Xenopus tropicalis: one gene and its partner. The protein of the gene in region 1 purifies or fractionates together with the protein of each later gene. This does not show direct contact. Links are inferred from orthologs where the notes say so. Each region holds a gene or a part of one and is shown in the gene's direction. Other genes may lie near its edges.

Region 1 (4,344 bases):
ACAGAAAGTGTCCCCAATTGCCCCCATACACATTTCCTCCCATACACAGTAGCCCCCCATACAGTATCCTCCCATACACAGTAGCCCCCCATACACAGTAGCCCCCAATTGCCCCCATGGAGAGTACCCCCAATAGAAAATGTCCCCATACACAGTAGCCCCCAATTGCCCCATAGAGAGTACCCCCAATAGAAAATTGCCCCCATAGAGAGTACCCCCAATTGCTCCCATAGAGAGTACCCCCAATAGAAAACACCCCCCATACACAGTAGCCCCCAATTGCCCCCATAGAGAGTACCTCCAATAGAAAATGCCCCCCATACACAGTGCCCCCCATTGACGCTGCTTCTTGTGGCTCCTGCTCCTTATGCGGCTCCTTCTACGGCGGCGACAGGACCTTTTATAAGGTTGCGCCCCGTGCGTACGTGTGACATCACACGTACGCATGGGCGCAACCTTATAAAAGGGCCTGTCGCCGCCGTACGAGGAGCCGAATAAGAAGCAGGAGCCACAGGACGAGACGGAGCCGGAGTGCTGGCTGCAGTCAGCGCATCCCGCTGGCCTGGATAGTTTAATGAATGTTCTGCATTTCCGTAATGCGGGACATTCATTGAACAATCCGGGACAGCGGGATGCGCTGTAAAAACCGGGACTGTCCTGCGAAAAGCGGGACAGTTGGGGGGTATGCAACCCACTTAGGGTCACAGTGTAATGCAACCCCTCTCTCACTTTTTCTTTCTTTGTAAAAAGCGCACAGATTCTGGTATAAAGGGGGACAGCTTGCATTACATTGGGAGACAAATGTGCTAAAGAGCACAGAGAAAACTATCATGGTTTTCTTTCTACCTGTGGAATCAGGTACTCCTGGGTGATATCACTCCAACTTGCAGCGCAGCAGTAAAGTGTGACTGAAGTTTATCAGTCACATGGCTGTAGCACCCTGGGATATGAAGAATATGGCTAGCCCCATGTGAACTTTTAAAATTAAATATAAAAAAAAACCTGTTGAAGTTCTATTAACCGATGCATTTTGAAAAAAAACCTTTTCTCATGACAGTATTCCTTTACCCATTCTAATTTTACCCTCCAAGTGCCACCAAGTCCTCGGAAAATCAAGGCTTCTAAATCTGGACTGTTGTGCATAATAGTGAATATAATTACATAGCGTTAACAAATAATCAAAACAAGGTACGAAATACAAATAGACGGGACGCAATGTTTGTATTTGTTGTAATTGCAGTCAGCGCAGTATAGCAACTTGCATTTATTAGAAATGCCTAATTGCGGTTCCTGGGGGAAGGCCCTGTAGTACTAGTAGTACTGAGGCGGCCCGGAGTCAGCACAGAGGGTGAGCCTTGTACAATACAACACCATTGTGAAATAATCCCGCCTCCACTGGCGATTGTTGGAGTCATGTTGGAAATCCAACTCCAGCCACTAGAGGGAGCAGTTAGCCATTCAACGCGTGTCGGCTCTCTATGGTCTTTTCTCCTGTCGCTTCCGGGCCTTGGCAGCCATTTCCCGCTTTGCTCCAGCGGTGTGTTCTACGGGACGCTCCGGGGAGGAATTTTTTTTATTGATCTGCAGTTTGTTGTGAGGCTGCGGTCGCACCATGGTAAGTACTGGAGGTGTGCGAGTTCCAGGCCTGGCGGGACAGGGGGTGTCAGTGTGTAGGGATGGGGGGGAGTGCAGGCAGCATGGTGTGTGGGGCTGTTCATTATCCCGAGTAGCAGCTTATCCCGCCGGATTTACAGAATGGGTTATGCAGTTGGTTCGGGTTTGTTTGGTTGCTTTATTGTTAGGCCTGTGTGGAAAGGCGTAACGTGTTATCTTTGCAGCGTGTGTACTCGCTAAGGGCACGTTGCACGGAAAGAGCCTGTATGTAAGGCGCGGTGTAGGCTGCGCTGAAATATAAGTAGCCATGCAGCGTGGGATGGTACTATCTCTACTGGGGATGAGCCGCGAACATGGGATGTTTGCGTCTGTTCTTAAAGCGGTGGCACATGGGAGTTGATAATTTCCTAAAGGCCATGTGTTCCTCTGCCTATCATATCTCAAGTGGTAATGCTACAAATGGCATGTTATACTGTTTGTACTGTGACTGCCCTCAGCCAGCAGTGATGTGCAGCCTTGTGGCCCTCCAGCTATTGAACTGCACTTTCAACTATCAGGAAGAATAAATAAATGCCCCTTTTTCATTTTACTGTGGTAGTGTAATAATATATAGCCTCCTACCAAAGAAAGGATGATTTCTATTAGATATGGATTTGTGGTTGTTGTTGCTGGCCGTGCCCCAAGTATCATTATTAGGCAGGTGTCCCCTTTTGGTTTCTTGGAAGGGAGCATGAGAAAACTGAGGACAAATAAAGGCAGAGATATAGTATTGAAAATGTATGCATATGATTACTTCAGGTTATTGCATGAGTTGACGTTTTAATCACAAGACCTATTGAATATTTATATTATAAATGATTATATTTTCAGAGTTTACCACTGAATCCAAAACCCTTCCTTAATGGCCTCACTGGTAAGCCAGTTATGGTAAAGCTGAAATGGGGGATGGAGTACAAAGGCTACTTGGTATCAGTGGATGGATACATGAACATGCAGGTAAGTAATAGCACTGAACATGTCAGATATTATAGTTGGTTACTTGCTGTTATAAGTTAATTTATTAGATTATTTAATAAAAAAAAATATATATTGTATGCATGTGTATATATAATTTATATTATATTCCCTTTATATTGTGCCAGAATTGTATCTGGGCTTTCCTGTTGCCATTTTAGAGCAGTGTATGAGACATTTGGATTGGATTGCCTCTGTCTCTAGTTAACACTAGGAAATTGCACAAGTAAAATGGTTTTGGGCATCAGCAGCCCATTGCTGGCAATGAAATACATTAAAGGAACAGTAACACCAAAAAATTAAAGTGTAAAAAACTAACTAAAATATAATGTGCTGCTGCCCTGCACTGGTAAAAGTTGTGTGTTTACTTCAGAAAGTCTTCTATAATTTATATAAATAAGCTGCTGTGTAGCCATGGGGGCAGCCATTCAAAGGAGAAAAGGCACAGGCACATAGCAGATAACAGATAAAACACTATTGTACTCTACAGAACTTATCTGTTATCTGCTATGTAACCTGTGCCTTTTCTCCTTTTTTCCAGCTTGAATGGCTGCCCCCGTGGCTACACAGCAGCTTATTATATAAATTATAGTAGTGTTACTGTAGCAAACACACCAATTTTACCAGTGCAGGGCAACAGTGCATTATATTTTCATTACTTTAAAGCTCTTTTATTTTTTGGTGTTACTGTTCCTTTAAGTGCTGCTTAAGGTTGCATGCAATTAGCTGGAGTGCTTGCCAGAGTGTTGTGACACTTTATAGTACCATTGCTAACCCTAGTAGCATTAGCACCAATTAGCCAGCTTAATTGCTTTTAAAACATAAGTAACAATTAATATTAATATTTCTGTATTGCAGAGTTTTTTTTTTTTATAGTAATGATGGTTGAGAAAGTAATGAGTGTCCATTATCCAAGGTTGCTGTGATGTGTGAGAAGCTTTTTCTGTTGGTTAATTCATTTATATATATTATTGCAGCTTGCAAACACAGAAGAATATATTGATGGTGCATTGTCTGGACATCTTGGAGAAGTTTTGATAAGGTAAGAATTGTGCACTGGGGATGCTTTGTAGGTGGTCACATTACAGCATATATGTCTGCTTTTCTGAAATAGAAAGCAAACTCTTGTCAGCATGTTAAGGCAACTGCATGTGCCATATAGATTGTAAGCTCTACGGGGCAGGGACCTCCATCCTCTTGTGTCTTTGACTCTTAACTTATTGCAACTGTAACTGTATCTTGTATGTATTTGTATTTATTGTTATACTTTGTATTTATCTATTATCTTATTAACCCCCTATTTGTATTAATGTATTCTACTGTACAGCGCTGTGTACATAAGTAGCGCTTTATAAATAAAAATATATATACATACATGTGAACCAGTGAAAAATGTAAAGTATATTCTGTAAAAAAAAAAAATGTACTTTTTAAATAGTTTCTTATCTAAACTGTGTAATTTAACAATTATTTAAAAAGGCAACAAATTGTCCTTTTAAATATTCTCTTTAAAGCACAACCTCCAAGGAGGCGTGAGTAGATTGCCCTTTTTTTTCTTGATAACTACCTAGTAGCAAGAATTGTATCCCTTCTCTAGAAAAACAATGTGACTGCTACCTTTTCTCTGCTAAACTGTTTAACTATTGTATTCCTTTTTTATACAGATGCAACAATGTGTTATATATACGTGGGGTAGAAGAGGAGGAGGAAGATGGA
Region 2 (3,569 bases), on another chromosome or scaffold:
TTTTGAACAGACCATCTTAAATTCCAGATTCCCATTTTTATATATTTATGATAATATATACTTAATGTGGAACAAACCCTAAAAATATGAATTTCTCTAAGAGTAGTGCTCTGAGTACTTTTCCAATTTGCATTAATTTCCTATTGAAAGTGGTTTCTAATATAATAGCAGTTTTAAACAATTTTATACAGCTAGGCCGGCTTTTGGCTCAGCAGCTTTTTAAAGGCTCAGAGTGTCAGCAACCCTAATATCTTTGCACTTTCTGTGTACTTAAAGGAACAGTAACACTAAAAAATAAAAATGTTTTAAAATAATTAAAATATAATGTACTGTTGCCCTGCACTGGTAAAAGTTGTGTGTTTTCTTCATAAACACTACTACAGTTTATATAAATACCCTGCTGTGTAGCCATGGGGGCAGCCATTTAAATTGAAAAAAGGAGAAAAGGCACAGGTTACATAAGAAGATAACAGATAAACTGTGTAGAATACAATAGGAATCTACTTATCTGTTATCTGCTTAGTAACCTGTGCCTTTTCTCCTTTTTTCAATTTAAATGGCTGCCCCCTATGGCTACACAGCAGGGTATTTATATAAACTGTAGTAGTGTTTATGAAGAAAACACACAACTTTTAACAGTGCAGAGCAATAGTATATATTAATTATTTTTATACACTTTCATTTTTTGGTGTTACTGTTCCTTTAAGTTAACCCTTTGTTGACTCAGTTGAGCCAAGTTAATTAGAATAGTCAAATCTGGAGCATGGAATGAACTGGAAAAATAAAATGAATTGAAAAGAGCAGTGTTGAGAAACAAGTTGAAGGCATGTAATGTATGTGTCACTTTATTTGGTGCTATTGTATTTACATAGTCTACATGTGCTAGATTCTTGAGACCAGATGTCTAGAAAATGCAGATAAACACAGCATCCATTCTCAGAAGTGGTTTTAGTGTGAGAATCAGACCAAAATACAGAGCACAAGACTTTTCGTGTAAAGTCGGGTGGTAGGAGGTAATGCTGTAATGGGACTGTAAAAGGCTCATTTTACAATTATGTTGTATTCATGATTTAGTGCAGGTAGAAATGATCATGCCATGATCTGTTACAATATGTGTGATTTATGATATGCAGAATCCTGTATAATGCAATCATTTATCTCATCCCTTTTATTCATCCTTAGGTTCTCTTCTCTCCGAGTTCTTCTCTTTCTACGCTTCTTTGGACCTGCATCTGCTCATCCTCTGTCCATGCAATGGTTTGACCATTCCACTTCCATTCTCCTCTCCACCACCTGCCTGGTCAGAAGGTTTCCGTTTGGGACCACTCAATATCCAAGATCCATTTGAACTGAGTCACAATGTCTGTGGCAATGTCAGCTCTCGTGCAGCTCGCCGCTTCATCTCTCACTGTGCAGCTGCTGCCAGGATCTGCCGTACCCCCAATTACAACTTGCATTCTACCTCCCATCCATGGGGGATCACTCCAATTCTCTTACCTCCACCCACTGAGAGAGAGTGTGTTGGGAGAGGAGGAACTGAAATCTCAATACCTCTGGGAGGTGTTTCACCTGAAAAAACATATGCAGCTGTGAGTAAGGTCTTTGTGGATGTACTGTTGTGTACACTGGAAGAAGGCAGAGAAGACAGCTGTCAAGAAGGGAAAGCTTTGGAATTAAGCACAAAACACGCAAAGGCTCAGTGTAAAGTAGAGAAGAATGAAGTAGGGGGGGAATTAGGGGAACAAGAGGTGCCATGCAAAGCTGAGCAAAATAATACTAAAGAAGCTTCCAAGCAAAAAAGCATCTTTAAAACCGAGGAGGGGATGACTGAATCAGCCAGGAGAAAACGAGAAATGACAGAGCCATGCATGAGTGATATGACCAATGGTAAAAAGAGAAGACTAGAATTTACTAGAGGCATTTGGGATCATCACCTAGCTACATCTGCCATGGAAGAAGAAATGTGTGGGGAAGCACATAAAGATTCCAAAACAAAGATAGACTACTCTAACAATGGCACTGCACAATGGGAGTTGCTAGTGTGGCACCGAGTGTGGGAAGGCAGGCGCAAGGAAAGGAGGCGCAAGCAGAAAGGGGAAGCCGATGGTGTAGAGCTGGAGATTGCTGTGTCTCAAGCACTGGCTCTGGAAAAAGAGGACAAATGTGATGGGCCGCTGATGAAATTAATACTTACAGCTCAACTGACTGTTAAAGAATCTTTGCAGCTTTATCTGACACCAAAATTTGACCCCCAGGGCCTTAGCTCCACATTCTTTCACTTCTTAGAGGGTTATCTACCTCGCATGGTGGCACAAATTCAAGGTTGTGGGGACCCAGTGTAAGGATATTCAATAATGAGAAAAAAAAAAAAACAGTTTTAAGGGGAAACTTGTATTGGGCATTAGCTTATAATAAGCTGTGGGTAATGGTAAATATCCATTTACATCTTAGTATTTTTATTTGTTTAATCTGTCCTTCAGTTGTACCTGCTTAACACTGACCCTTGACAAGTCAATACACATAGAGGTTATGTACATACTAGCGTGCCAAGAGCTACGGTGGCATATATTATAGGCTAGCTACTATTTCATCTACAGGCAAATTAGTTGCATGATAGATGCAAACATGGAAGTGGCTTCTACAGATGTGTAACATAGGGCATACCACCTACAGTGAAACTATCTGCCACATGGCTTTTATAATTGGCCAGATCTCGATCGGCCAGGTTAGAAAATCCAGTCGGATCGGGGACCGCATCGGCTCGTTGATGCGGTCCCCGAACCGACTGCCCCATAAGCTCAAATGTAATCCGATCGTTTGGCCCCAGGGCCAAACAATCTGATCATTTTTTTTTTTTTTAAGTCCCTTGCTACCCAATATCACCCACCCGTAGGTGGGGATATCGGGTAAAGATCCGCTCGCTTGGCGACATCGCCAAGCGAGCAGATCTTAGTGTATGGGTACCTTAAGGATGGAAGAAGAAAGTGCAAAGGTAAGGTGCATTGTGCAGTGTTTATATTTCCTTTTTCCTGCAGTGCTCAGCTAGTTAGTCAGCTCTGCAGCCAACCTCTGCAGAAAGTACCTCTTCTGTCTTTGACCATTACATAGGAATAAATTATCTAGGTATAGGATCTGCAAGGTAAGGGCTAAGAGGTATAGACAAAACTTTAGCAGTAACTATTATAGAAATGTTAATTTAATAATTTTAATTAGCTCTGTTCAATTACCCTTTACACATTCTGGAATGGGATTAGCATCACATTTTTCCACCAGGAGAAAACTAAAAGGAAGAGAGTTTGTATATTCCCATGCTTATATCCATAGCTTATTTGTTACAAACACCTGAGTGCACAATGGTTTACTCATGGGGGTTATTTATAAATACTGGGCAAATTTGCACCCAAGCAGTAACCCACTGGAAACCAATCAGATGTTTGCTTTAATTGTTCTACTTACCACTGCCTGGAAAAAAGCTAATTACTAATTGGTTGCTATGGGCTACTGCCCAGGTGCAAATTTGCGCAGTGTTTATAAATGAGCCCAACTCAGTGACTGTAAAAGAATGCACT

What was found.
Region 2: the proteins of snrpf (region 1) and tut1 purify together in Homo sapiens (co-immunoprecipitation; 3 studies listed by BioGRID and IntAct, counting the BioPlex papers as one, with this or other methods). This does not show direct contact. The link is inferred for Xenopus tropicalis from reciprocal best matches to the Homo sapiens genes SNRPF and TUT1.

Annotation. Positions count from the first base shown.
Region 1 is NC_030679.2:57,034,465-57,038,808, forward strand, and holds the start of snrpf (small nuclear ribonucleoprotein F), read left to right. Parts: upstream 1-1,484; 5' UTR 1,485-1,612; coding exon 1,613-1,615; intron 1,616-2,484; coding exon 2,485-2,610; intron 2,611-3,605; coding exon 3,606-3,670; intron 3,671-4,292; coding exon 4,293-4,344. UniProt on the Homo sapiens protein: Plays a role in pre-mRNA splicing as a core component of the spliceosomal U1, U2, U4 and U5 small nuclear ribonucleoproteins (snRNPs), the building blocks of the spliceosome.
Region 2 is NC_030680.2:36,812,765-36,816,333, reverse strand, and holds part of tut1 (speckle targeted PIP5K1A-regulated poly(A) polymerase), read left to right. Parts: intron 1-1,182; coding exon 1,183-2,342; 3' UTR 2,343-3,569. UniProt on the Homo sapiens protein: Poly(A) polymerase that creates the 3'-poly(A) tail of specific pre-mRNAs. Localizes to nuclear speckles together with PIP5K1A and mediates polyadenylation of a select set of mRNAs, such as HMOX1.